Linked DNA regions of Canis lupus familiaris. The main gene of each other region encodes a partner of the protein of the gene in region 4 in a complex. Links are inferred from orthologs where the notes say so. Each region holds a gene or a part of one and is shown on either strand. Other genes may lie near its edges. The genes, in order: MED24, MED31, MED8, MED4, MED23, MED13 and MED20.

Region 1 (4,388 bases), on a different chromosome or scaffold from region 4:
TTGTGTTCACAGAGGGTGAGAATTCAAGTGCAGCACCCAAGGGTGCAGAAGCCTAGTGCACAGAAACCCGTGTCTGCCACTCCTGGTAAGCCTAGGCATGGCCCCAGGCACCTGCACGGGAAGGGGAGAGGCACCCAGCAGTCCAGCCTGGACAGGAGGAAAGGGGGGCAAGTGGCACGTCAGCCAGGCCGGGGGGAACTCATGCTTACCGCTTGGCCAGAAGGTTGGTCACACTGGCTTCGGACAGAAGCCCCTGCTTGCTACATTCTTGGAGGAGGAATTTTGTACAGTCACAGCTGTGAGGGAAAAAGATCATGAGGGGCCTGGGCACACAGCAGGGATGACTGAGGGATGGGGACAGTAGGCCTCTGCCTCGTTTCCTCCCTCCTTCAGGATGGCAGATGGGCTCTGGCACCCAGCAACTACGGGGCTGGGGCCTCCTGCCCCTGCTCAGGGGTACGAACCAGGTGACAGTCCCCTGAGATTGGCCTGGCACAAAGGAGCTGGGGAAGAGCCAGAACACCTTCTAGAAGGTAGAGCAGGGGTGAGCTAGGGGAGTTCGTACTTGCAGCGCTGGTCAGCTTTGTCCAGCAAGGGTGTGAGCTTCAGCAGGAACTCAAAAGCACAACTGACATCCTCGGTAAAGTCCTACAAAGAGCCAGAAGCTGCCATCTGCCTTCTGGGTCCTCTACTCCACCCATAGCTTGTGATGCAGGTTTACGAGGACACCCCATTGGACATAAACACCAAAAAGTTGGCCATGCCCACCACTGGCTTCCAGTGACATGACAGGGAGGAGTGTAGAGGACCAATCTCTACACTGGCCCTGGTCACCTCTGCATCTCGTGTGGCCTGGCCACCTCTATCTGGAGAATGGGCATGCACACAAGCATGCGCACTTACCTTTCCAGCCTGCCCCCAGGTGCAAGAATGCAAGACTGACCCCTCCCTTGCCCATTTCTCCTTTGCCCTTGTGGAAACAAGGATTCACGAATTCCCATGACCACCTTTCCCCTAATCTCATTTCTTCAACTTACCTTGTCCCCATGACAGTATTTCTTTAACTTCACCAAAACCTGTGGAATCTAGAGAGTGAGGCAAGAGAAAAACATGAAGATCAATTTCTTCTCTCTTTCCCCCAGAACTAAAGGCATCCCTTCCATCTCCTTGTTCTGAACAGACGCAGGATCCCTTCCACCTTGGAAATGAAAGTACTCTTAGGGCCAAATTAGAAAATTGGCAGGCATCTAAGTGCTTAGTGCCCAATGCCTACAGGACACAGAGACCCCTCACTTCTGCTGTCTCCACAAGGAATTGCCATAAGCAAAGGGAATCCTGATTCAAGGACCGGGGCCACTGCTCTGGCTCCTATAACTGCCCCGCGCCAATCTTGCTGATGACTGAGCTAAACGGCACCTGTGTGCTAAGAGATGGCACACGCCTGCCAAGTAGGCTAAATATAGCCCCAGGACTTTCAGAGAAAAGACTCGATGGGAACTTGCACCGGAGGACCTGGCAAGCTGCAGCCAACACCAGCAGGGAGAAATGCTGGACAAAGATCCTAGGTGTTGCTGCTTTTCCTGAGAACCATTTCTAGACTTGGCTCTGTTGCTCCCATGTGCCAGGTACCTTAAGGAAGGTGAATGCTGTCCACTTGAGCTCCTCCGTACCCTCGGGAGACTCGATGAGCCCCACAAAGCAAGCTTTCCAGATTTCCAGGACAAAAAGTGGGGTGGGAATATGCTGTAGGATGATCCGAAAGTGAAGACTAAGAGGGTGTCCATCCCCCTTCATCTTCTGAAGGTCCCAGGGTTTGGGGGGATGGTAGGGGCCGGTCAGGCAAGCTCAGAGACTGTGCAGGACAGGTGCTTCACCACTCCAATGTGAGAACAGGTGAAATGGCACCACCGTGCACGACAGGGATCTGATTGCCACCATGGGATCAGGAGAAATCCCCTTCCTCCCAAGAAGTACCAGAAGAATCCTCCCCACTGCCCCAAGTGGCCAGGCCACCATGTTGATGGAGAAGCAGCCCTGGGCCCCCCACCTGCATGCGCTTCACCATCATCAACTGTTCCACCAGGGGCTGGGTCTCGCCTGTCAGGTTCATGGTGCCCTCGAGCAGGACCACGGCATGAACTGTGGGGTAGCCGGTCTTGTGCAGCTGCTCCGAGTGTACAGCCAGCATTGTGGGGATGCTGAAGGGAACGGGTACACAGCGAGGGGGCAGGTGAGAGCAGGTGAGTGGAGGCCAGGAGCCACATCTCCCCACCCACACCCAGGGCCTTTCCTCTCTCCCTCCACCCCAATCAGCCTGGGGCCCAGTACCTCCTAATGAGCGTGCCACACTGCTCAGCCTGGCTCCGGAGCTGGGGGTTGCTGAGACTGGCCAGGATCTCCCCGAGCTTCAAGAGAGAATGCTCAATGGCAGTCCAGGAGGCTGGTGGAGAAAAGGACATGCAGACATACGATGGCAAACAGAGAGGAAGACACTGGCCCTGAGCTCCTCAACTGGCCTCTCTGGGCCCTCAAACACACACATGGAGGTTTCCCCTGAGGATGACATGGAGGCCAGGGGCCTGAGGGCAGCATGCACGGTTTCTAGAAGGGGGATGGGGAGGTGAGCACCAACAGTGAAGGCCCTAGAAACTATCCCCAGAGGCCTGCCTCCTAGGGTTGCACGTAGCTGACTTTAGAGCCTAACACAGATATGGCTTAACATGGGCAGTGGCAGGGAGAGGCACAGCGGGGCTGGAGTCCAGCAGCTAGAACAGGGAGGCAGCCACAAATCGCCTTAGAAGCAGCCAGCCTTGCAAGCGGCCACCACTATATAGGGCTAAGTTAGATTCCCAACCAGCCTCCCGGGTTCACCCCTGCCTTGCCCTGTTGAGGCCTCTGCTCTCACTGCCCTCCCTCTTTGCAGGTGCCCACACTCATCACCACCTCACAAACTCACTCTCCTCAAGCCTTTGTTCAAGCCCAGATCCTTCCTTCCACAACTCACCCAACTGGTCCAACCCACTGACCTCTCCTCCTAAATGCTTGTTTCACGGTCTATACCGAATTATTTTGCACTTAATTAAGAGTCACTTATCCTAGTTACAACTCCAGAGGGTCAAATGATGAATACTGGTACCAACTAGCCTGTTAACCTCCATGTGGCATGGGGAAAAAAACAAAAAGGTAAGACCTAAGATCCATTAAAATTAAGGTAAATATTCATTCACTTTTCAGCCACTAAAACCTTTGTCAAGGGCTCAAGATAGGTAAGACACTATCAACATAGTCCATTTTTATGGAGGGATCATCTCTCTGGACTTTTGACAGGTAACAAAACATACTTTAAGAAGTAACAAATATACAAATCCTATAATAAATTCTCCAAACAGGTCCTGAAGACCTGGGTGTAATCCATTCTAGCATTCTTGCTGCTGGAGAGTAAGAGAACCTTAGGTGGCCTCAAGCTACTACACGACTGTGGCCTTGGGCCCCATGTCCAGAAACACTAGAGTTTCCCCTCCTATCTGTCTCCTCTCAGACTCTGGAGAGTTCCAATATTTAACATCTGCACCTGAGTCAAGAGGTGTATGATACAACAGGCCTGATAGCAGACAGGTACCATGTTTAAAGGGACATGTTAGGCAACACTCAAACAACAAGAGGCATTTGTTTTCAGATGAGTAGTGTGGAGACAAACACAAGGATGGATGGTGTGCTTCTCTTGTCCTCTAATTTCTTCCATGTATATTACATACTGGTCTTGCTCCCCACTAGCATGTATGCTTTTTGAGGGCAGGGACCCTGCCACATGCTCCTTTGGTAGCCCCCCACCCCCCGCCCCCAGCACCTGGCACAGTGCTGGGCATACAATAATGCTCAGTAAATACCTGTTGGTTGATTGGCTCGGGTGCCACCCTGCCCAAGTCCCTGGGATGTATGCAATGCTTATGGGGAGAAAAAAAAGGAAGTGGGATGATTTCAGATCCTCCTGGAAAGAAGTGGGATGGCATCCTGCCTCTCCCCTCTCAATTAAAGAACCGGCTATGGGAACAGTGGCAGGTGGGGCTCAGGGGAACCAGGGGACATACAGGCCTCCTCTAGTTTGGCGATGTGGAGCAGGGCCCGGTTCTTGGTGCTGCTGAGGGTCTTCTCCAGGCGTAGCAGGCACATGGCAAGCTGCTTCTCCCCAGCTGCTGGAGTGCCGGCCTCCAGCCCCTCCCGGAGCCGCTCCGCAGAGGCTGCAGTGCAGCGCAGCAGCCAGTGGAGGGCGCTGAGAAGGGCCCGGCACAGCCCGATGCACTCCTCTGCTTTGCCATGACAGCTACCGGGAAAGGATGCAAAATCTGTCTTGGCTCCAAGGGCTGAAATATTACCCACATCAATGTTCC
Region 2 (3,141 bases), on a different chromosome or scaffold from region 4:
CTCATAAACTCTCAATTTGCTTGTAATATATGGGAATCTTTAAGATGTAGGTAAGTCAAGTCTTCAAGGGTGACAGTAATAGCACAAGGGAATGGATTATGGAGGTGACAGAAATGTCTAAAAGTCTCTACCAGTACAGAAAACAAATTCCAAATCTCAAAAGGAGTTAGCATCTTTTACCATAAATGCTACAAATTTATAAAGAACTGTTACTCCTAAAGCATCTTCTTTGGCTCTAGAAAGTAGAACTGAACCTAACCAGTGGAGAGCAGAGCACACTTAATCCAGCCTCTACTCACTGCAGGCACTTTGCTTTTACTATGCTGGATGAGGTGGGTGGCAGAGAGAGCTTGGAGACTGTTATATAACCTCATGGTGGCAAGAGCCCCAATTCATGCATCAGTGACACTGATGAGCAGTTCTGAGCTGTGTAACCGCAGACAAGCCTGGTTCTGCAGGTGAACCGTGAACAAATGAAGCACATGCCACATAAATGTTAGCGGTTGGATGATCGCACATATTTGAGGCTTCTCCTCCTTATTCTAGTCCAAAGTCAAGAGTCCAATTAGAAGTTAGCCACTGATCTATCTCCCCACCATCAGTAGGTCAGTGACTGCCAACAACTGTTTCTTGAAGCCCTCTCGCACAGCAGTAACTCCTTCTTGCAGATCCTGCTCTCATTTAAGGAAATCACTGACTCTGTTCCTCTTATTCTGTAGACAAGGAGACAGGAAGGTCAGAGGCAGTGGACTTGCCCAGGCCCCACTGTATGTGGGGAACAGAGCTCGGCTCAGAATTCGGGACGTTTGGTGCCCCCCCCCCCCCACCTTACCCCATCCCTCACTGCATCCTTGGGCTGGTTTAAATCACCTAACGTTTGTTTTTATTCAGTTGGTTAGGTACTAGTAACTTACAAATTCACAAGGAAACCAAAGTAGAACAACGCTGGTTGACAGAAGTAATCTATTAACAAGAGAAAGTTATTTGGATGAAACAGTACACTAAAGCTTCTAGGTGCTACCCCCACCAAGGCAGCTAGAGAGTCTGTGTGTTCATGGTACAAAAGCAGCATGTACACGTCAGGACCGGGGTGGCCCCAGGGTTTCATTTTCCCGCCGCGTGATTCTGCTGCTGCTGCTCTGCCAGGGCTTGCTGAAGGCGCATCCGCTTCCGCGAGTAGTGCTGCCAATGCAGAATCTGCTGTTCGTCAATGAACTTGGCGCACTGAGCATTCACCAGCTCCTTGCGGAAGTGTTCATACTGAAGCAGCTCTAACATGTGCAGACACTGAGGGTACCTGGATTTAAGGGCATAAGTTAGTCATCCACGTGATCTGGTCAACAGCACCAAGCTGCAGTCCAGTCACTCACTCAAAGTGATCTTGGAACCAGCCGTTTCTAGAACATTGACTCAGGTCACTTCTCTTTCCCTGCTAATGCAGAGAAGCCAGGCAGCAAGAGCCAGCAAGATGCAAAATTTTCAAAAAGTAAAAAAACAAGTTCAGAAAGATTCAACAATCTGCCCAAGACCACACAATAACTGGTAGGCAGAATCCAGCTTTGAGGGCAAACCAAGCTACTCTATTCTAATGGCATCCAAGGTGAGGAAGATGAACACTCTATTTTAGTAATTATCTGTTTAATTGATAACTACTGGTTTTCCATCAATAGTGATAAAGACAACTTTTATTCAAAAGTGAGTCCATTTCACAAAGAACTATGTACGAACATTGTGTTCTAGAGTCCCATGAGGATAGAACAATTCTGGAATTACTTCACATACACTCTAAACCTGAGCAGCCAAGTAAGTGAATAATAAACCATAGATAACAAAAGCCAAGTTTCCGACTATGAGAAAAGGAGTTACCGGGAAAGGCGGGAGGCTAGGATGGACCTATGTTATGGAGCAGCAGTTGAAAACATCAGCATGATCGCTTTTCAAGATTAGAAGTAGACACAATAATACACACACACACACACACACACACACACACCTTCCAAAGATGGCCTAGAAACAAGGACCCTGTGGTACCAACAAGCACACTCAGCGCCCAGATCATACATTTCCAACAGCATCTTCCAGCGTTCAATGGGGGAAATGGCTGATTCCAGGGCTAAGGCATAAGATGAGCTGGGGACATTTATGTAGTACCAGAAAGCCAAGTACTCCAAACACTAAGGGCATATGTCCCAGGTACTCAGGAGCCAACCTGAAGGGGCTCCTACAGGCCAAATCTGCACCAAGAAAACACATGATTACAATCCAAGAGATAAATAGAATCCAAGAGCCCACACGGATATAACTTTTAAATAAACAGGGAATAAGAGAATGTTCCTTCCTTATGCCTGAACTACAACAAAAAAAGTAGAAAAAATTATAGAAAATCACAGTAAAAATCGTTCCATAGAGCAGTAAAAATTGTTCCATAGAGCCAAAATTAGGGGGTAGAAGGATGACGTGAAACAAAGTGTTTACATAGTCTCAAAAAATTTCCTCACAAGATACTTACTAAAAACAAAGGAAAACTAGTAACTTGACATGGAGAAACCTGGCAGCCACCACCTCAACCAAGGGATCAAAATTAACATCACAAGTAGTAGGTCAGGTTGACTTCCTAGGAACCCTGGTGGGATATACCAAGAAGCTTACAGTATCACTTTGGGGTCACAGGTATAAGGGAAATAGTACCAGGAAACTCAGGTTAAGACTAAGAAGACCCAGAGACAAAATGTCACCTAGAAGCCTAGACCGGGTACTGCCTCAGACACAGCACATTAATGAGACAGCCGACAAAATCAGAATGGGGGGACACATCGAGTCCCACCTCAGGCTCCCTGCATGGAACCTGCTTCTCCCTCTGCCTGTGTCTCTGCCTCTCTCTTTCATGAATAAATAAATAAAATCTTAAAAAAAAAATCAGAATGGTCTGCAGACTACAGAATATATTAACATCAATGTTCTCAGGAAGATGTTAACATTTACAATATCTGGGTGAAGAATATACAGGAATTCTCTTTACTATTTTTTTCCAGCTATTTTGTACGTGACATTATTTCAAATAGAAAAGATACAAAATCTAAGTGAGTCCATTAAGAAAACTTTTTTTTTAAAGATTTTATTTATTTATTCATGAGAGACACA
Region 3 (3,865 bases), on a different chromosome or scaffold from region 4:
CTGGCATGGCCTCAGAGCTGATAACAGGACTCCTCGTGTGGCGGTGTGCTAGGACCAGTAAACTCTACGGATACCGTTTCTTGTCTTGATGGAGCAGGAGTGGATCTGACACATCGCGGACCACTTTTCCAGTCCTTTGCTGCCACAGCCTGGCACAATTCTGACCGGCACCAAACAAAAGCCAAAGGACTGGTGTGTGACAGAAGAGAACAGAAAAAGGCAGCTGGAAGGTATGGGCAGGCTCTCTGCATACCTCTTGGGATTTTTAGATCAAAGCTAATCAAAGCTAAGAAGACATTTTATGGGGAACAAATTGGAACCACCTTGCAGCAACTCTGAAAGTTCTGACACAGGGCCTCTGACCCCTAGAGAGCTCCCTCGTAAATCACTGTCGGCTAACATGGACCCCGTGGCCATCAATTTAAAGGACTTCAGAGAAACCCTTTGGTCTTCTCCGGACTCAAACCCTGCCCCTGCCTGCAAAGGAGCACCAAGAAAGGGGGATTAGGTTGCAGACCCAACTCACTCTGCTCTTCAGCTTTATGTAAAGCATGCAGAGGTCCTGAGGGCTGTCCCCACCCACCAGCAATCTGGCTCTCTCATTTGAGCCACAGTTTTAGTGGACTGGAGGAAAGCCATCCTGGCCCGAGTCCAGGAACCAGGAGCTATTATGAGAGCAATGAAACCCAGAAGAAAGACGGTGTGAAGCGTGATTCCCCTCTCCCTCTAAAATAAGAAAAATGAGTCCAGGGAGAAGGGGCTTCATGTGCTAACAAAGCCCCTTTCTCACACAGTCCTACCTGGTAGAGCCACTTCCTGGGAACCCCACACCTACTAGACCTTCAGCATCTTCTTGGATGTGTATAAGATAGGGTGAAGGAGAGGGGAGGGCAGGCCCACGCTTCACCAGAGCTGTGGGTGGACCCTCTGACCCAGCCCAGAAGCCCCGTTGCCGGCAGCCTGGAGAGATGGCCCTGATGGAACCTGGGCAGGGGGGGCCTGTGGAGCCGACATGCCTCTAAAGACATACACAGGCTGTGACAGTTTCCGGCACCATAAAATATGGACAGGCTTCCAAACAGAACAGAGTGGTCCATGATCTTGTGTCCGTCAGCTCACCGCTGACACGAAGGAGTATCAGATCCCGCTGGGTTCTGGATCCAGGACTGAGGAGGGCAGTGGGAGAAGTGGCTGTAGAAACTATCATTTATTGAATGCTCATTATTTCATAGGCTGTACTGTTTTACATTCATTTTCTCATTTCAGTCCTCACAACAACCCTATGAGGTAGGTATCACCATTTACAAAGAAAACAGGCTCGGAAAAATCAGGTCACTTGCCCAAGGTCACTCAGCTCGTCTGTGGTGCAGCTGGAACCTGTCTGGCGCTGAAAGCCCATGTTCTCTTTATTGTACCCATCTAGTCCAGCTTTGGGAAAAGTTGCCGGCCACACTCACCGCTGGTAGGGATGCATTGAAGCAGACTTGATGTTGGTTTTTATTCCACTTGGCATTTTCCCTAAAAGGAATATGAAGAAAGACACCTGAAGCACCTTAAGACTTTCATGATAAATCAGAGAGGTGGTCTCCCAGGCTCCCTTCTGCCACCCTTTCGCTCTTTCAGCTCAGAACCTCTGTGGCCTCTGACCCCGGGTAGCAAAGATTAGAGGTGTGGGTCCTGACCAGCCCTCTCCCGGAAGGTATCTGGAAAAAAAGGACTGATAGTAGGAGGGGTCAGAACACACCCCAGCAAGTCTCGTGCTCAGCTACTTCCGGAAAAGACAGCTAGACCCCATTTACTGTCACAGGCGAAAGACTGTTCTCTCTTACTGTAACTGCTCCATTTCCTGGAGGGCTTTGGATAAAAACAAAAAAACCAAAACAAAACACAAAACACCTCTTCTAGCTACGCACATCTGAACTCCTCCAGACTGTTCTCATAACTATTAACAGTAGATCAGAGAGATTGAATACAAAGAAAAGAGTACACATAACTTGCTTGTCTTTCAATCCCAGCATCCCTACTGAGTGGTCTTAACTGAGGCCCACCCACTGGTCTAAGACCCCAACAGCACACTCAGTGTCCAGAGTAAATGGGACAAGAAGGTAGTTGACACAGAGCTCTAAGATGGGGCTGGGAGGTGCAGTTCCTGCTGCTCGAAGTTCTTCCTTTCGCTGGTACCTGCTACAGAGTCTCAAAAGAGTTTTTTTACTCTTAAAAATTGATTTCTGGGTCACAGTCCAAGGAGGATAGGAGAAAATCTCCAACTCTGGGATACTGGGGGCCCAGACAATCCAGCTTATCCCTATTTCCTTGCTTTGAGTCTGCTACCATGTCATCCTCCGCCACCTTACCTGTTTGACCTGCCTGGGCCATCTGCACCCCACTGAGCAGTGGTTGCTGTTGGCTCGGAGCTCCTGCCATCTGTACTTGCTGTAATCCTGAGGCTCCAGCAAGGATCGGCCCAGCTCCTGGCTGGCCGGGCTGGCCAGGACCACTACTACCGGAAGGCCTCCAATTAGACAGCCCCTTCCCAAAGGCCACAGCTGCTACTAAGGCATTGGTGTCTGCGGGGTTAAAGGTCTGCTTGTTTGGCCGGAGACCTGAAGAAAAAGGGGAAGTGAGGAGCTTGCGATGCGCCTCTGACCCTGGACTAAACCTGGCAGCAGGAAGACCAGCCCCAGGAGCCTCAGGGCTTCAGCAGCATCCACACTCACCAGCAGCCCAGAGAAAGAGACCCCAAGAGACCCCCACAACTATCTCAGAATTATCCCTTCTCATTTTGCCCCTTTCCTCTGCCTGCTCCAGGGCTGGCCTTCAGTATAAACGGCAAACAGAATGGACACATCCCTCTCCTAAGCAGTTGTCTTCTATCCTCACTTCACCACCACCCAAACCACCAGTCTTAGTCCAGTCATCTTCTCCTCCTTTCCCTCTTCCATTTTTGCCACCAATCCTTCCATACCTCCACTCTCAGATTCCCGTTCCTCTTTGCTGATTTTCTCCAGAAGGTTTGAGCACATTTTATTCAAGCTCTGGATCTGCTTCTGTAACACACATACATTTGTGCAGAGATCAGAGCAGACAGGAAATACTTGTGATGAGGGCTGTTCCTTGTGCTCTTCCAGGGGCAACTTTTATATAATCAACTGCGCACCCCTACCAGACACCAACAGTACTGCCCAGCTTCTCATGAAGGGCCCCAGGGGAGGGGGGAGCAGCAGGGCAGTGACTTGGTCCAACCTGAGCTGCGTCGGCACCGATGCGAGCAGCATCTGTTGTGAGCTGCTTCTCTTGCTCTTCGACCTCAGGGTCAGGCTTGGTTCTCAGGTGGTCAGGGACCACCTCGTGGCTGAAAACAGGCACTCGTCCTTCAGTCTGCCGCTGTAACACACAGATGTTACTGATCCTCCCATGCAATCCAAGACAATTCAATCTGGCTTGCTACACAGCTCCTTCCACTGGCAAATGGTACATTTTTGGGGAAAACACAGCCTGACACTTACAGTATCTGGCTTCCTAGAACACTGTTGCTCTTACTCCCTGCTTCATTTCTATCTGCTCACACCTCTATTTCTACCAGACCTAGAGGCAAGTTTCTCTTTGCTACATTTTAATAAAATACCAAAACAGACAAAAATCACAAAAGAACACACTTTTTCCTCAAGATAGATATTGGAGGAGAAAGGTCTTTGCCTTGGGCACAGAGGCCTCAGGTTTATTTGGCACTACTTGGAAGTAGCTCCCCAATTCCAGAAGGAAAAAAAGGCCTCAATAAAGCAGCCCTTGCTTTCTATTACCACACACTACACATTCAGAACTTCTAAAATTACCAAGCAACAATTGTGCCCTAAGCCCTCATCTA
Region 4 (3,374 bases):
GACTGTGCAAGGGGACCAGGCCTAGGGATCTGTATGTAGTTTTCCTTCTCAGGCCTGTGGTGCCGGCTGCGCAGGGACATCAAGCACCTCAAGCGGTGTTCACTCCCTTGCAAGTTTCAGGGGCATTGAAGTCTCACCCTCACCCTCAAGGCGGCTTCCCAGCCGGGCTCCCAGGAACCTGAAGGCTGGTGGATGGATCCCTGCCTGCCGGCTGCAGCCTGGGAACACCCCCTCCAGCCTCTCTGCCATCCAGTGGGCCACAGATGCTTCCCGCATCTGTTAGTGCTCTATTTTTTAAAAACAGCTCTCTTTACCCTTTAGTAGTCAGTACCAAATTTTCTTTAAATTTTCCTTGTTCATATTACTATGTGGTTTCTGCCTCCTGACTGGCCTGTGACTGGCAGGATATGGAATAACCCAAATGAGAAAAAGGCAAAGATATCAAAGGAAACTAATGCACAGTGAGCTCTCAGTTTGTCCTTTAAGCAGTTTTAAAAAACTTTTTAAATGTTCTACCAAATCAAAACAAGTCACCTACAGAAGATAAAAGGTGGGAAACAAAATAAATGTAATAACGCAAAACTACATGTAAAACTTGAGGAAGGCTGAAATTCAAAACAGCCCAAGTCTCACAGAAGTGCTATTTAGTTATTCAAAAGTAAAAAGTTGTTACTCGTTTTGTTAACTTGGGAGTTTTTCAAGAGTGATTTCACTTTGTATTCTTTAAAATGAACATTTATATTTCTTATTCTGTTGGTACAGTATATTTCACAATTTTATTTAAAAAGCTGTTTAGATTTTAATAATTAAAGGCCTAATGCCAAGGCAAATAAACTATCAATAAATGACAGAGAAATCAATTTGTTCTAATTTCATAAACTCCAACTAGAACAGTTTTTGATCTACAGAGCAGGATAACTGGCAAAAAACCTAGCTATTAAAACGAGTTGGGTCTAGACTCTCAAACTTGTTCAACAGCCAGACAGTCATGTCTTAAAAACTTTGGTGTGTTTGAAAACCCCATTCTGATTAGTATTACCTGGCAATCTGCCTGCTGCAAGTGCATCCCCTGGTAAATGACCATTTACACCATTCGTGGAAGGATTGTTCATTTGACCCAATAATCCACTTCTCATCTCTAAATCAGTTGGGTATGGTCTCCGTGGGTCCCCTAAAAAAAGACTGCTTTTAATTGAATCTTATGCAAAATAAGCAGCAATACCTTCTCTGAAGTATTGATTTTCCTTGGTTCTCTTTGAAAAACTCAGAAATATATTTTCAATTTTCATACAGGAAGGTCATCTTATCAATTGTGATTAAGAGCATAATATATTAAATTTAAAAATACATGCATTTCTTCTCTGAATCTGCACAGAAATATACTATTCTCCATACAAAAAAAAAAAAGTGTCATTTTAGCAATTCTAGATGACAAATTAAGAAAATAATAATGATCTTGAGTCTTCTAAGTTACCCACATTTCCTAGTAAGAACAAATGATACATACTCTGAAGGAGAATAAATATATGGTGTTTTGTTTTTTTTGTTTTTTTTTTTACAAGACAGAAAGGACTGCTTATTTGAAGGACTACCTAAATTAAAACTTTTTCTAATCAACCTCTTTGATCTTGTCATTTAGAGATTAATTCCTAGAACTTTCCAGTGGAGGTTTATCAGGAGCTTTCATTTCTAATCATGATAGTTTTGGGATAATGAAAACTTGGCAGATTTGGACCAACTTTTTAGTAATATTTCTTACTCCAGATCACTCACCTCCAAAACTGCAGTTAATCTTAGTGTTTTTAGTATGGTGAAATGCCACCATCATGAGATTCTGATGCTGAGATACTCTCCCACTCCTCCCAGAAGATTACTGCTCTACCGCAGGTCCCTGTCTTATAAATGTTTTATGTGCTGTCAATGTATGTTGTAGTTTGTTACCCCTTTTTGTTGTTTCTAATTATTCCAGCTCTTTCCAGTCCCATGTGTTTGTTTGTGAGCACTCAGTGCTTCACTGTATCACTGAAGATCTGGGACTGTCTCGTTTCCAAGGCCAGAACCCTTGACGAAATCCCAATGGTTCTAAGAAGTGGGCTTCTGGCCAGCCTGGGTATTACAGACATATAAATCTACAGCTTAGAATCATTACATATCATCTCGTACTTTTAAACATCAATTTATGATTTTTCTTTAAAAAGGACAAAAACACAGTCTCTATAGCAAAAGCTTTGCAGAAAACCAAACTGATAAACCCATAACCCAAATTATTACTTGTAAGATATTAAAGATATGAAAATATACGGAGGATGTTTCTAAGGATAAATATATCCTATATTTAAATCTTTTTTCCTATTTTTAAGTATAGTTACCTAAGAATTTTCAAAACCATATATACCTAATAAAAAGAGAAGTGTTTTTACCTGGAACCCAGGTCAGTGGAGCACACACAGCATTACTTGCACTTATTCTATGTGCATATTTAATTATTTCTTCAGAGGAGATGGCACCTGAGTCAAGAAGAGAGAGTAACATGTTAGTCTAGTAACTTACAAGTCACTTACTAAATTTTAAATTACCTGAAAATAGGATAATCCGAGTTACCTACCTTCCCTAATAAAAACTAATATGTATATTGTTAAATCATATAAGATTTCCCAACTAAAGAACAAGACATCTAGAAAATACAGCTGATAAAGCATCATATTTGGGACATTAGCATGATAATGCCCACTGACCTTGATTTCTAACTACCATTAAACATTCCTACTGTTCTGAAAGCAACAGTGAACACAAATAAGACACAGGAAAGGGTGTTTTGTCTTGCATTAACAGCTTAGCTATTAAAGCAGCAGCTCATACTACACCACTCAATTGTGACTTAACGTGACCCTAAGGAAAGAAGTAGACCCAAGTAGAAACATGTCCACAATATACTCATTAGATTTAAAAACTAAGCTGCTCGATGCCTGGGTGGCTCAGTTGGTTAAACATTTGCCTTTGGTTCAGGTCGTGATCCCAGGGCCCTGTGATGGTGTCTCACACTGGGCTCCCTGCTCAGTGGGTCTGCTTCTCCTTCTACCCCTCCCCATTCCTTGTGCTCTCTCCCCCCACTCAAAAAAAATCTTAAAAAAAAAAAAAAAAAAAGTAAGCTGCTAAATAATACATACAGCATGACCTGGTTTTTGTTTTAGAATATATGTATATATATGTATTTGCATTAAACACCTAAAAAATGGACACACACTAAACATTAACAGTGGTTATCTGAAATAGGAAAAGAGGAGGAAAGTTAGATAACTCTGAGGTGATTATAGGTAAATAATCTATAAACCAGGGGGATCCCTGGGTGGCTCAGCAGATCGGGGAGTCCCAGG
Region 5 (4,388 bases), on a different chromosome or scaffold from region 4:
AATTATTTCCATTCTACGATCTCAAGACATATTCTTCAAGACAGTGAGAACATACTGAAACTATGTTAAAAGCAATACTTGAATTCATTTCTAGCTTAAAATTTCTGGAGAATTTTAAGGATATTATTAACCTAGAAAAATTATTTATACAATTAAAGAAATTTTAAGCTGGACTTACATGGCAAATAAAGATTTAATGATTAGAAAAATATGAACCACAAGGAATATAAAGGTCTAAGAGGAATGTATTTGGAAATAAAGATCTGAAGTATGGTTTGTCAAACTTCTCTGATTCTTTATAAAAAAAAAAAAACAACAAAAAGCAGTAACTCTTAATTCCTAGGCCAATGTCAGTCACCAACTATAGTGCACAACCCATAGAAACAGCCCAGTTCTCTGTTGTAACCCAGTCAGCATACTGCCTGGAACACAGCAGACACTTGTTCAGACTGAATAAATAATCAAACCGTTTATTTATCCAACAGATTTTACTGATTATTTTTCAAGTCTTTTACAATCTTAATGCCATTCTCTCTCTGCCCAAATTAACAGTTTGTCTTTCAAAATCTGATAAACCCTAAAGAACCAAAAACTATGCTATATTTAAAAATACAAATACTTAAAAATTTTAAGATTTTTTATAAAAATTTAAAGAATCGCATCATAGGCCAGGTCAAAGTGTCAAACTTGGAAAGCAATTAATTTGTTTTAAATAACAGAGATTGGAGAATCACCATTTAAGCATGATTTTATTAAGTGTATGCATTTCTATGTTATTTATTTTTTAAAGATTTTATTTATTTATTTATTCATGAGAGACAGAAAGAGAGAGAGAGGCAGAGACACAGGCAGAGGGAGAAGCAGGCTCCACGCAGAGAGCTTGATGTGGGACTCGATCCTGGGACCCCACGGTCACGCCCTGAACCAAAGGCAGATGCTCAACCACTGAGCCACCCAGGTGTCCCTCTATGTTATTTTCTTACATGGCTTCCAACTCATTTCATACAATAAGTTCAAGTCCACAGCAAAGGCAACTAACTTGCCAATCTACGTTGATAGAACCATTAACCCATTTATTTGGAAGCCTATGGTAAAAATTTTAAGCCATTTTTAAAAGAATATGCAACTGTGTTTGGTCCTGAGATGCAATGAAATCTAGAGGCCTTCACTTGACAAAAAAAAAATCTCTTATCCCAAACATACACCAAAAGAGACTTATGTATAAAATCATTTGAGAACTCTTTTCCAATATATTTGAACACTGAAGTCATTAACAATAAAAATTAAAAATAAAACCAGTGGCTAGAATAAGAAAGACTGGAAGTATCTAATGAAACTCATTTGACCACAGATACCCTCCGTATTACTAGGTAGCACTAACAGTTATAGATATGGCCAACATGTAGCTTACTTGATCTCTTAGAGACAAAAATATAGATAGAGAGGTGGGAGTCATAAAGTATCAGTAGATTCATCGTTTGAATCAAAATAAGACAATCTGAACATCACTGCTTCTACTACACCACTATGTAGCCTGATTATGTTCAGATTTAATAGATTAGAGTCCATTTTCAAAGACAAATGTATTTCCATTGTCAACACCGTACATGAGAGGACTTCACTGAGTTACTGGTAATGACACTGGCACCTGATTAGACTGAGGAGCTGGAGACCCACTATTTATGGCTTGTGGAGGCACTGCAGGTGGTTCCATCTTGCTAATGTGTGTGATGAATCGAAGACGAAGTTTTAAAGCTGGTTTTAAATTACAAATAATCTTCTCTACCTAAGAAATAAACACATTAAAAAGTATTTTAACCAGAGAATTTCAACCTCCCACCCTTAAAAAAGTGCTTTATACACATATGGAGGCAATAAACTAGGGAGTGGATGAGAAGTTTCTTTATGTGTTTTATGTTTTAACAAAAGCAAATAAAATCATTTCTCTCTTACATGAGGAAAAAAATTGTGTTCTCCCTCAAACACATTATGTATGTGCATATGAGTATGTACATATAGTCTATATATGTATCAACTTACAAAAACATACTCACTTACCTAGCCAGCCAGTCATCCCACTGTGAAAAGTTAATATAGCTTACACTAGAAATTAAAAAAAAATTTTTTTTAAATTTTATTTATGATAGTCATACAGAGAGAGAGAGAGGCAGAGACACAGGCAGAGGGAGAAGCAGGTTCCATGCACCAGGAGCCCGATGTGGGTGGGACTCGATCCTGAGTCTCCAGGATCGTGCCCTGGGCCAAAGGCAGGAGTCAAACCGCTGTGCCACCCAGGGATCCCCTACACTAGAAATTTTATGCATCCAACCAGCTCACCATCCTTTTCTTTTTCAAATATATATTTTTAAGATTTATCTATTTAGGGATGCCTGCATGGCTCAGCAATTGAGCATCTGCCTTTTGGCTCAGGTCGTGATCCTGAGATCTGAGGATCGAGTCCCACATCGGGCTCCCTGCATGGAGCCTGTTTCTCCCTCTGCCTATGTCTTTGCCTCTCTCTGCGTCTCTCATGAATAAATAAATAAATCTCTCTAAAAAAAAAAAAAGATATTTATTTATTTATTTACTTGTGAGAGAGAGCGAGCAAGTATAAGTGGGAGGGGCAGAGGGAGAGGAAGAATCTCAAGCAGACTCCGAGTTGAGCACGGAGCCTGACACAGGTCTCCATCTCATGACTGCAAGATCACAACCTAAGCTGAAACCAAGAGTCAGACACTTAACCAACTATACCACCCAGGCCCCCAGTTCACCACCCTTTTCAAATGCCATCATCACAGAAGCATGATTAAACTTTGAAGTTATATGAATAACTTATATCTGTAACATTTATCTATAAATTAATGTTTTGGTTTTGATTTATACTTGGAATTCAAACAAAATAATATTAGATCTACTTTTACTTAAAATATTTTAAAGAAATAAAAAACATCAAGCAGTTCCATGGTTTTCTTAGCTTTATTCAAATGTTCTTTGACCTTACCAGAAGAGATTGCCCAATAATTTTTCTTTTCTGTATTCCCTGTGTCAAAGTTTCTCAGGTCCAGATATAAAAGATATGCTAAATAAAACATTTCTGTATTGGTTCCCACTCAACTGTGACAATCTTGCTGAGGCAATAAGGGAGTCAATATCCTCCCCACCCCATGTCCCTAGCTCCAAGTCAAGAATCCAGTAGACTAGGATTCATAGGTTTAAATATCAGTTTACCTTCCTTTCCTACCAGAGAAAAAATTAACGTTAAGCTATGGAGGGGAGGTCATTTCACCTACCTGACCTACCTCTTCCCTCTGAAAGAGCCAAGCTTCTGTTTCCTATAGATAGGAAACTCAGTTATGATTCAAGGACATCCTTTCCATTTTCAGATCACTTTACTAGGAACTGGCTCTTTACATGCTGAGCAGAATGTGCCTCCCTTTAACTTTACTGGAGTTTATACGCCTTTTGAAGTGACACAGAACAAATCTAATGCCTATTCTGAATGGCAACCTTCCAAATAATGAGAACACGAACAATTCCCTAGGACTTTGAAAATTCAATCTAAGTACCTCCAGTTCCTTCAAATACCCTTTATGAATTATTCCCTTGATCTTCCTGGCTTCAGTCTTCAAGTCATGCTGCAATCTGTCCAATGTCCTCATAGTGCATACCCTAGTCACTGTGGCGAAAAGTAGAATCTCCTTCACTCATTACACAGCACCTCTCTGGTCTTTAAAAAGTAGCCATTCTGTATTGTTTCTTCCTAATGAGAGTACTATTTATCAACTACCTAGGTCTTTTCCAGATGTCCTGTTGCAAATATCAAGGGGAAAAGTATGAGAAATTATAACATGTATTCACTATTACTGGAATTACATATGTAGAATAATGTGCTCATAGCCTTAAAAAGGTCTGATAATATTAACCTTTTCCCCTTAAAAGAAAAAACATAACAAAAATACTCAAACAAAAGTATATCAACATATGTTCAAGTTTTCTAAAGTAAACATCATTAAAAGATAAAGTTAACTTACTTGTTCTTTTACGCTGTCACCAGTAAACATATACTTCATATGATATAGGAAGTCACAGATGGGATCCATGTAATTTAAGTGGGTGCTACACTGGTCTACATTCAGTAACATGTCATAAAATGCCACGCCAATCTATTTAACAAATAATATAAAATTATTTAAGTGGGCAAAAATGGTTCAATAATTTAGAATGATGCAGCTGGACTCCATTATAAGACTAACACAGAAAGACAGCACATTTGTTGAAGAATTGTCACTGATCATACAAACCTCTATGTGCATGGGATATATGATATGGTCTGCATCTTTTTTAAGATTTATCTATTTCTTTGACAGAGAGTTATATGTGTGTGAGAG
Region 6 (4,388 bases), on a different chromosome or scaffold from region 4:
GGAAAAGTTGTTGGTTTTACCTTATTTTCCCACGGTCTCGTCCTTGATGAAATACATTTTAGACCTATGTGATGAATGGGCACCACTATAAAGATGCTTCTTGTTCTTGCTTACAGAAGTAATTTTCAAGTGCATAGCTTATATTCAATCTTACTTTATTTTCTTTAGCTCTATTTTTAAGATCACATAATAATCCTAAAAGAATTTACATAAAAGTCATTTAAAGTTATCTACTTTTTCAGTGTAACATGCCTAGATGTGTCAATGTTTAAGGAAGCACTAAGCTGATAAACCTCAAGAGTCTGTCTACAGGTTACACAACTTTAGACTATGCACATCCACATAGGTCTAGCACTGAAAAATGTAACAGGAGTAAGCATATGCAAATATAATGCTTACAAAAGCTATACATTTTAAAGCTACCTGTGGTGGAACGGTGAGGACTCTAATGCAGTGCATAGAGTGCCTTCTTTTGCCCATGCAATTTCATAATGGAGGCTTAGTGACAACTGCCACACCCATTCTGGTATGACAATGAAGAGTGGAAGAAAGGAATTTCAATTAAAGTGAATCATTTTTTGTTTACGGAGTCATTATATATAAAGTGCTAAAAAAAACTATGAGAGATGGAGAAACTCTTAGCAGATCTCATTCCATATACTGTAAAAGGTACTATTTTATATTTAGGTGATCTCTCCTCTACAACTGTAACATGTATATAAATTCTTGTGTTATATATTCAAGGATATAATCAAAGATATATATTTTTTAACTGCCCATAAACTCTTAATTTATAAGTTATAAGCAAAAGTCTCGGCAGATCACTACAAATTAAATGAATATAGTCAGGACCAGAAATCACCATTTAATTTCTATGATAAAAAGATCTTTTAATCATCTAGGTAAAAATCTATTATTTTTCCAAGTAAACAGAAACACATCAGGTGGTATTTTTGCCTATGGTGTAGGAAATAAGATGGAATGTATGAAAACAAAAGGTGAACAAAATTATGGTAAATTATGCCTTACCTGGTAATTCAGACCAGAAGTCCTAATCTTGTTACACTGTATCTGAGGGTGAATGCCCACTTTACACTATCCTCTCTGCAAATAAATATTGAGTAGAAAAGAATCTGGATAGTCCCTTGGACTTTTTGTAAAGTGGTGTTTCCTAAAAAAATGTTCCGTGAAACACTAAGGTCATGAACTATTAATTGGTGTTACACAATCGCTTTCTTGTGTATTAAAGTAAGTTTGGGAAATAGGTATACAATGGTATTTGCTGCTGTTTTTCAGAGGCTTTAATGTGCATACATGTATTTTAACAACAAAAGGGGGTAGAAAGCATGTGCAACACTTCCCAAAGGACCAAAGAACCCTTTGTTTTGTAGAAACACCAAGGACTACTATTTTGCAGAAACACACTTGGGAATATGTTCTTGTAATGAGGTCTGTATAGACCACTGTACATATATTGGAAGGGGAAGAAAAATCTTATGATAAAACTTTATTACCTTGGCTGACACTTCCTAATATATTATCACATCAATAGTCAATTCAGATCAACAGCTGTTGTATTCTTTATGAATGTGCTACAGAAGTTCAATGCTTAGTCTCAAATGTCACTGACTCAATGATATGTGGGCTAAGGGTATCAAGATTTAATAGCAACAGGCTTAAAAGAGAGCAAGCCTATTGGTTCAAGTACCCACGAAAATATAACCCCAAGAAACTAAACCACAGTATCCGACTTTACCCTATAGTAAAAATCAGTTGGCAAGAAGTTAGGTTACCCTGACTTCTGGAATACAATAGTCAACTTCTGTGCGTATATATAAAAATAAATGAATCAGATCTGAATTTCCTATTTTGGAATAGTAGTAAGAAGCAGCAGTAACAAACTAACAAACTCTGGATAGGACTTTCACATTTCATTTTACGATTTTATAATGTATTTCAACCTTGATATGTCACTTGCTAATGAACTTGTTTTGATAAATAAGTCACTATGGATCTGAGAATCTCAGTACTTGAAAACCACTTAATAGTTTTACACAGCAATTTACACAAAGCTAGAAAAAAAATTTAAGGAGGTAGTAAATGGACCTATTATCAAATATTCTTACAAAACTATGAATCCTTTAAACCCAAAATACTGTGACATAATAGCAGTAGGATGTAATTCAAAGAACAGCACAATCATGAAAGGATCCAGACTGCAGTCCTGAGTCTACTACCCATTTATGACTTTGGAAAAATGAGTTTTTCTGAACTTTAACATGCTCACCTAGAAAATGAAAAAGGTTAGATTAAAAGTAATACAAGTTTCACCCAGCGCTAAATTTCCATATGTGCAGCTGCAAATAATAAGAACAAATGTCCCAGAAATATGTCCAAACTTAGTATCAATTTAAAAAGTAGAGCTGTTTTGTAATTAGAGAACTTCTTTGTGACTTTGTCATATTTCACAGTGCATTTAATAAGACCTTAGACACTTCTCGATATTTCTTAGGAATTAAGCATCAATTAGCATTATTTAGGAACTGGCATAGAAATGGAAATACCTTAAGAAAAAGGGGACACTGATATTGTGCTTGAGGACATGCTGACCAGAACCAGTCAGGTAACGGACCCGCTTTGGCAGTTGATACAAAGTAACCGAGGGCCAATGGTTGCTGAAGAATATTAGTTACTTCATCATGAGATTCTGTTGAAAGTAGCCGATCAGTACCCTGACCCTTAAATAGAATTAAAAGTGTGTTAGTTCATTTGATATACCTAGGCACTCGATACACAGAATGGTTTATGGCAACCAATCTCTTTTTATCAATTTAAAAAAATATTAAAGGATACTGAAAAAATCAATTGCTATGTACTTAGTAAGACCATAATTAGTAACAATATTAAAAGAGTTTTAAGGGTTGTATGAGGAAATTAACATACCAACTGTTTAACAAGTTGGTAGTATTATGCTGAGTCATGTTCAGTGTGTTCCAACCAAATGTTTAATGAAATTTCAACTTATTTCCTAATACTCCCTCAACTAATTCCTGACCACCACACCTCAATCCAAAAGATAATTTAAATTTCACTTTGTTCATCTAATACTATAAAATGTAGTTATTAGCGTTTGGAAAGCATTATGGCAATGTGAAGGGACATCTAGTAAGTGATGCTCATATCCTTTAGATTAGTCCATGTAGTTCTTGGTATTTATGTTAAGGAAATAGATAAAAAGAAGCAAAATGATATGCATGGAAAAGTTCATTGCAACATTACCTATAACAGATAAAAATAAAATATTTAAAGGTCCAATATTTTGGGACATAACAAATTATGGGAAAACAACATTAAAAAGCTGATTATACTTATTTATACATATTGAGAGCTGCAATATAAATATACGTGAAAGGAAGGTAATTTGCTAAAAGTAAAAATGGTTTTATTAAAGTAGTGAGATTAGTGGTGCATATATATAGCTTTTCAATAATCTAATTTTCCAAGATTTTTTTATTTTTATGTAATCTCTACACCCAATGTGGAACTCAAACTTAAAACCCCGAAATCAAGAGTTGCATACTTTACTGACTGAGCCAGCTAGGTACCCCAATAATTTCACTTCATTTCAGTTAAAAAAAAAAAAGGAAGAAAAGGATACAAGGTAAAACTGGACAAAGATCCTCCCTTATTTTAAAGACAGGCTTCTAAACATATGCATGCTATAACAATCAAATAATCACTATATATAGTTTCACCCAAATAAAGATGTAATTCAAATCAAGCCCAGTTAGTTTTGAGTTCAAATAGAAGGACAAGACAGCCTGCTTCCCAAATACTAAAAATTAAGACAGAGGGAAGGAAAGTGGTCAGCATTTCTTCTGTTCTTATGAGAAAAATCAGTATTTCTATTGTGTTCCTCCTCACAACTCTGATAATGAATGGCAGCTCTTAGAGCATACACTAATTCTCAGATAATCTGATCCTATACCTGATCAGAAGCTACAGTAAAGTGGCAGGAAAACTACAAAAGGAGGACTAAAGCCAAGTAATCTAGAAAACAGCAAGTCAAGGACAGTAGAAACTTAGAGACCCTCTTTATAATGCATAATTCAAAATACTAACATCTGTAAGACAGATGTGCAAGAATGCACCATTAATCTCACTTCTTGCTCATTTCCAAGGAAAAAACAGTATTTCATTTCTCTATCCATTACACGAAGTTAATGAACAACGTTTAGATTAACTAAGCTTTTATAACAGGGTTACCTTGCCAGCATCACCTCCATGGGGGTAATGAGATCCTGGAGAATGTACGGGAGACCCCGTTGGAGATGCAGGAAGAATATTAATAATATCAGGGTCAAGATCATCTCCGGTGTCTAACAAAT
Region 7 (4,937 bases), on a different chromosome or scaffold from region 4:
CATCTTAATATATCAAAAAAAAAAGTTGATTCAATGGTCAAGGTCATGTCAATGAGGTATCTAAGGCTGCTGGCTAGGTGTGGGAATCAGACTTCCTGCAGAAAGTTCTAAAAACTCTAATGTTATGAAAGAATCATACACTTCTGAGCCTACAAGGAGCCTCTCCCAAACTTAAGAGTGCATGAAAAGATCACCAAGGGAGTTGGTTGAAGTATAATTATGAAGCCTGTAGCACCAGTCAAAGGATCAGGATTTAATGGATTCGGAAACATCTGCCACATGTTCAAGAATGCCACGCTTAGGAAATGAGCATAAAGATTTCAATGAATATGAATGTCAATCAACTGCAAGTGAGGGTCCAGTCACCCTGCAGACCCATCTCACAGACCTTGGCTGCCAAGAGTGGAGGCAGCTGTATGGTAGGTTTCACAATCCACACAAAATGTTCCTTGCTTCTCTGCCCCAAGCATCTCCAATTTCCGAGTAAGGAGCTCCACCGTCTGCTGGACACTCTTGCCCTCGGCCACAGGCATCTGGGATACACTGAAAGGGAAAAGACCAAATCATAAGTATTCAGAGGCATATGCACACTCATTGAGCCAATCATTCACACACAGAATCACAGCTCCTCAGGGCCAGGAGTTATCTTAGAGACCATGTATCCTGAACGTCTCTCTCATTTTAAAGATGAGGAAATAAGAGGCTCACAGTTCCTAACAGCTCCACTAAGAACTAGAACACAGGTCTCAGGACACTCCTACCAACTTAGTGAACTTCCTATCACAGCAGCATTTTCCAACCAGGACACGTGTGCCAACATTCAAGCAGTTTTAGGTGGCACACAGAGTAATCCATAACACTGATGTCCTTTGCAATTCCTTCAGTTCTGCCTAAATTAGGAAAATCTGTTTGAGGTTAGTATGTTTTTACCAATTCTCTAACATTTTGAAGGTGTGTTGTCCAGTACAGTAGCCACAAACCACATGTGGCTATTTACACTTAAACTAATAAAACAAGTTAAATTAAAACTTCAACTGCTCAGCTGCACTACCCCATTTCAAAGGCTCAATAGCCACATGTGACCAGAGGCTAGTATATTGGACAGTGATGTTATGGAACATTTCCGCCAATATGGAAAATTCTATTCAACAGCCCTAGGATCAAAGAGAAAGCAAGCCTCAAGTCTGTAATCTTTAGGAGTCAGAGGCAACGATATGTACAAAAATAAAATCAAAACAATGAGATAAAAATGTTATTTCCAAGATTCCTTCTATGGTAAGTGAAACCGACCTCCCCTTAAGAGTAGTAGGTAACGGGCAGCCCGGGTGGCTCGGCAGTTTAGCACTGCCTTCAACCCGAGACCTGATCCGGACACCTGGGATCGAGTCCCGAGTCGGGCTCCCTACATGGAGCCTGCTTCTCCCTCTGTGTCTCTGCCTCTCTCTCTCTCTCTCTCTCTTTCTCTGTCTCTCATGAATAAATAAAATCTTAAAAAAAAAAAATAGTAGTAGGTAACAATCATTAAGCACCAACCACGTGCCAGGCAGTGTCCAAAAGGCCTTTAGACAAATAAACTATTTGGATCCTCACAACGGCCCTAGAAGATGACTATTATTTATCTCCTTGTAATAAGTAAGGAAACTGAAGAACAAAGAGGTTGAGTAACTTGCACAAAGTCACATAGCTTGGTGTGGTATAGCCAAGATTCAAAGCCAGGCATGCTGGTTCCATGTCTGTGTTCTTATTCACTATACTAGATTGCTTCCCTAAACAAGTAGTTGCCGGTTAAAATGCTTCTAAGAAAACTAAACAGATTCAAAAAAAAAAAAATTCATAAATACTTCAGGTGGTACACTTAACTAAACAAAAACCATACATATTACTGAATTCTCAAAGACATTACTTTATGATCAATCAACCACAGAGGGAGGGAGGAAAGGAGGGACTACTGCTGTTGCTAAAAATTGTCCCTACTCTCCATCAGAAGATGAACTCAGAAGCAATGGATAACGTGCCTTTACTGACAAACATAAGAGAATATCTAAACTGACGTTACACGGGTCCGAAATACCAGGAGTGTGATATACTTGCTAAGGGTCCCAACAGACTGAGGGCCCATTCCATCTTTCTGTCTTCTGCTGAAAGAACAGGGGCTTTCAGGTTCCAAGCCTCTATGCTGCAAGCTTTTCCTTCCAACCCTCATACACTCCCTTACACTAGAAAACTTAGAAAAGGCTTAAAATATCCATTGCAGAAAACACAGGTGCAGTAACCGACAAGCCTACAAGAACCTGAGCTATCAGAAAGACTAGCTCCAGGGATCCCTGGGTGGTGCAGCAGTTTAGCGCCTGCCTTTGGCCCAGGGTGCAATCCTGGAGACCCAGGATCGAATCCCACGTCGGGCTCCCCGCATGGAGCCTGCTTCTCCCTCTGCCTATGTCTCTCTGCCTCTCTCTGCCTCTCTCTCTCTCTCTCTCTCTGTGTGTGTGTGTGACTATCATAAATAAATTAAAATTTTTTTTTAAAAAAAGAGTGGTTCCCACAGGCTCCAGCCCTAACTAGAAACGTGCTAATACTTACCGGTACTCAAAACAAAACAATCCCTAAAATCTAGCATTTTCTCCAAGAGCATTAGGCCCATACCTTTCTCTGCCACCCCACTTATATCATGTTGAGAGATTAAAAGTCCATAGTAATTAGTTACACCAACCATACAATTAAACATAGTAGGAAACGAATTCTGAAGAGGTGACGTGCCTAAACCCCAATCTACCTCCCAACAGCTGCTGCTGCTTATTTTTTTTTTTTTTTTCCCTCTAGACCGAAAATCTTAAGACGGCCGCACCAGAACCAGACACGGGCCGGTCTAACTGCATTAAGTGGCTGTAGGGAGGGGCAGGAGAAAATCTTTAAAAAAAGACGGTTTCCTCGTTGCCTATCCTTTACCTCCTCTAGCTACGCCTGTAGATTGGGTCCTAGTTCGGGCATCCTTAATTTCCACCTCGGGCAGCCCTATGGCCTCCTGGGAAGGAGGAACACAACCACTGATGGGCTCCTGGGACAAAACCTTTCACCTGCCGCCTTTCAGGACGAAGGGAAGTGTCTCCGAGCAAACAAGCGCGGAGAATCTGCAGCCCTCGCAGCGTCTCCATCACCCACACGTTCCGAAGATATCTTATCTTCATCAGCTCATGGGGGACCGCGGTCCCTGGTCCCGGCCCTCCTCCCGGTACACTCCGGGCTCCGGGGCCCTTCCCGACCCCGAGCGCCGCCCAAAAAAGTCCCCTGCGGGCCTACCAAGTCACTCCCATGGTATCGGGCCAGGAGGATGGCAGGAACAAACAATCGGATCACAGTAGTCTCTGGCCGCCCACACTAAGTGAAGACCCCTAACGAAAGCTTCGGCCGAGGGAGGTGCTCCGGAAATGACGCAAAAGGAGAGCGTCCAGTCGACGCGCCCACGAGGAACAGGGGCAGGTCTAGGCATCTCCTCGGTGACGCCTCCAGTGACGTCACTACCCAACTCTGGCCCCGGCTTTGCAGCTAGGCAAGTCCACGTTTGGCTGGGAACAGAGGTCCTCGATCTATGAAAGTAGAAAACCACCGCTCGGACTGCCACCACTTGCAGAAGCCAGCGTTAGAAGCAGTGAGTTCATTCGGGGACCGGCTGGCTCCAGGCCCCGCTCTTACGGGGTGTGGCGGCGCTGATGGCCTTCCCGGCCTCCGGACGCCGGGAGGCGCTGTGAGCTCCGCGGGGGCCTCTTGGGAGCTGGGACTTCACGGCGCAAGTGCGCTCAAGGCTTTTTTTTTTTTTTTTCCTCGTCTGTACCCCACGTGTAAACCTTTCTGGCAGAGTTCTGGAAAAAAATGCCCAAATTCAAGCCGGCTCGCGGAGCTGCAGGCCAGGAAAAACATGCGCCGCTGGCTGAGCAAATCCTGGCTGGGGACGCGGCGCGGGCAGGGCCCCGGGAGAAGCGGCGGGGTCGTGGGACCAGAGAGGAGGACGAAGAGTATGTGGGGCCCCGGCTGACCCGACGGATTTTGCAGCAAGCGCGGCAGCAACAGGAGGAACTCGAGACCGAGCATGGGACTGGGAACAAGGCCGCAGCCCCGCGCGAGCGCACCACGCGTCTGGGTAAGTGGGGGAGGGGGGTGCCAGGAAGAGGGTGGTTAGTTTTGGAGGGAGGGGGAAGTAGATAGACGGCCAAAAGGTTCTGCCAGGGGAATCCTTTGGAATAAAAAAAGTGAAATTGAATAAGGAGTCCGCATCACACCCTTGCAAAGGTGATGAAATGGGAGACCCAGCCCTGGAATAGATTCAGGGTGGTCAGAGCTCTCTATGCCCACTTGTTGCTTTAGATGCTTGCGTCTAGGCAGTCTCTAAGTTAGACCAACAAGAAGTTAATTGGTCACACTATTGAGCACTCCTAACGTTTATCCATCTGTTCTGTACATTCTTGTAGGTTGTCTAGTCCGTACTTTGCACTGTGCTAGGTAGGAGTTTAGATGGTTTTGAGTAAAAAAGGAAGCAAGATAGCCATGACCCTGACTTCAAGATCTTACAGTCTAACCTGAGAGACAATTAAATTGACGATTCGAATAATACATTTCATGATGAAAGTATAGTTTTGGGACACCTGGGTGTCTCAGTGGTTGAGCATCTGCCTTGGGCTCTGGGCAGGATCGCGGGGTCCTGGGATGGAGTCCCGCGTCGGGATCCCAGCGGGGAGCCTGCTTCTCCCTCTGCCTATGCCTCTGCCTCTCTCTGTGTGTTTCTTGTAAATAAATAAATGAAAATCTTTTTTTTTTTTTTTAAGTATAGTTTCATCTTAAAACAAGAGCATTAGTTTTGGGGGTCAGGGTTCCTAGGTTACATGACTTTGGTGCTGAAAACTAGTGGAGAGAGAGCTCTAAGCAGAATGAACGATATTGTTTAG

Evidence for each region.
Region 1: MED4 (region 4) and MED24 share a complex: the UniProt entries of both Homo sapiens proteins name them as parts of the mediator complex. The link is inferred for Canis lupus familiaris from reciprocal best matches to the Homo sapiens genes MED4 and MED24.
Region 2: the proteins of MED4 (region 4) and MED31 are in contact, whole or in part, in a cryo-EM structure (PDB 8TRH), measured with the Homo sapiens proteins. The link is inferred for Canis lupus familiaris from reciprocal best matches to the Homo sapiens genes MED4 and MED31. Residues at the interface, in NP_054885.1 of Homo sapiens: Glu147, Tyr151, Arg154, Ile155, Asn159, Ala160, Val161, Cys162, Ala163, Pro164, Trp167, Arg173, Arg174, Pro175, Tyr176, Pro177, Met182, Leu186; in NP_057144.1 of Homo sapiens: Gln19, Glu23, Gln26, Cys27, Ala29, Asn30, Pro31, Ala64, Lys65, Tyr66, Leu67, Lys68, Tyr69, Pro70, Gln71, Asp98, Ile102, Trp105, Gln106, Tyr108, Ser109.
Region 3: MED4 (region 4) and MED8 share a complex: the UniProt entries of both Homo sapiens proteins name them as parts of the mediator complex. The link is inferred for Canis lupus familiaris from reciprocal best matches to the Homo sapiens genes MED4 and MED8.
Region 5: MED4 (region 4) and MED23 share a complex: the UniProt entries of both Homo sapiens proteins name them as parts of the mediator complex. The link is inferred for Canis lupus familiaris from reciprocal best matches to the Homo sapiens genes MED4 and MED23.
Region 6: MED4 (region 4) and MED13 share a complex: the UniProt entries of both Homo sapiens proteins name them as parts of the mediator complex. The link is inferred for Canis lupus familiaris from reciprocal best matches to the Homo sapiens genes MED4 and MED13.
Region 7: MED4 (region 4) and MED20 share a complex: the UniProt entries of both Homo sapiens proteins name them as parts of the mediator complex. The link is inferred for Canis lupus familiaris from reciprocal best matches to the Homo sapiens genes MED4 and MED20.

Annotation. Positions count from the first base shown.
Region 1 is NC_049230.1:22,463,715-22,468,102, reverse strand, and holds part of MED24 (mediator of RNA polymerase II transcription subunit 24), read right to left. Parts: intron 4,322-4,388; coding exon 4,089-4,321; intron 3,945-4,088; coding exon 3,888-3,944; intron 2,441-3,887; coding exon 2,329-2,440; intron 2,199-2,328; coding exon 2,048-2,198; intron 1,744-2,047; coding exon 1,630-1,743; intron 1,086-1,629; coding exon 1,038-1,085; intron 649-1,037; coding exon 566-648; intron 297-565; coding exon 210-296; intron 1-209. UniProt on the Homo sapiens protein: Component of the Mediator complex, a coactivator involved in the regulated transcription of nearly all RNA polymerase II-dependent genes.
Region 2 is NC_049226.1:30,898,083-30,901,223, reverse strand, and holds the end of MED31 (mediator of RNA polymerase II transcription subunit 31), read right to left. Parts: intron 1,298-3,141; coding exon 1,105-1,297; 3' UTR 861-1,104; downstream 1-860. UniProt on the Homo sapiens protein: Component of the Mediator complex, a coactivator involved in the regulated transcription of nearly all RNA polymerase II-dependent genes.
Region 3 is NC_049236.1:16,885,201-16,889,065, reverse strand, and holds the end of MED8 (mediator of RNA polymerase II transcription subunit 8), read right to left. Parts: intron 3,385-3,865; coding exon 3,244-3,384; intron 3,048-3,243; coding exon 2,966-3,047; intron 2,604-2,965; coding exon 2,355-2,603; intron 1,519-2,354; coding exon 1,454-1,518; 3' UTR 1,189-1,453; downstream 1-1,188. UniProt on the Homo sapiens protein: Component of the Mediator complex, a coactivator involved in the regulated transcription of nearly all RNA polymerase II-dependent genes.
Region 4 is NC_049243.1:3,372,995-3,376,368, reverse strand, and holds part of MED4 (mediator of RNA polymerase II transcription subunit 4), read right to left. Parts: intron 2,508-3,374; coding exon 2,421-2,507; intron 1,172-2,420; coding exon 1,040-1,171; intron 849-1,039; exon of another isoform or gene 1-848. UniProt on the Homo sapiens protein: Component of the Mediator complex, a coactivator involved in the regulated transcription of nearly all RNA polymerase II-dependent genes.
Region 5 is NC_049233.1:378,689-383,076, reverse strand, and holds the end of MED23 (mediator of RNA polymerase II transcription subunit 23), read right to left. Parts: intron 4,164-4,388; coding exon 4,032-4,163; intron 1,787-4,031; coding exon 1,619-1,786; 3' UTR 444-1,618; downstream 1-443. UniProt on the Homo sapiens protein: Required for transcriptional activation subsequent to the assembly of the pre-initiation complex. Component of the Mediator complex, a coactivator involved in the regulated transcription of nearly all RNA polymerase II-dependent genes.
Region 6 is NC_049230.1:34,697,902-34,702,289, reverse strand, and holds part of MED13 (mediator of RNA polymerase II transcription subunit 13), read right to left. Parts: coding exon 4,267-4,388; intron 2,739-4,266; coding exon 2,565-2,738; intron 1,105-2,564; exon of another isoform or gene 1,030-1,104; intron 1-1,029. UniProt on the Homo sapiens protein: Component of the Mediator complex, a coactivator involved in the regulated transcription of nearly all RNA polymerase II-dependent genes.
Region 7 is NC_049233.1:10,766,020-10,770,956, forward strand, and holds the start of MED20 (mediator of RNA polymerase II transcription subunit 20), read right to left. Parts: upstream 3,451-4,937; 5' UTR 3,312-3,450; coding exon 3,298-3,311; intron 544-3,297; coding exon 389-543; intron 1-388. Other genes in the region: BYSL (bystin), read left to right, coding at 3,868-4,135. UniProt on the Homo sapiens protein: Component of the Mediator complex, a coactivator involved in the regulated transcription of nearly all RNA polymerase II-dependent genes.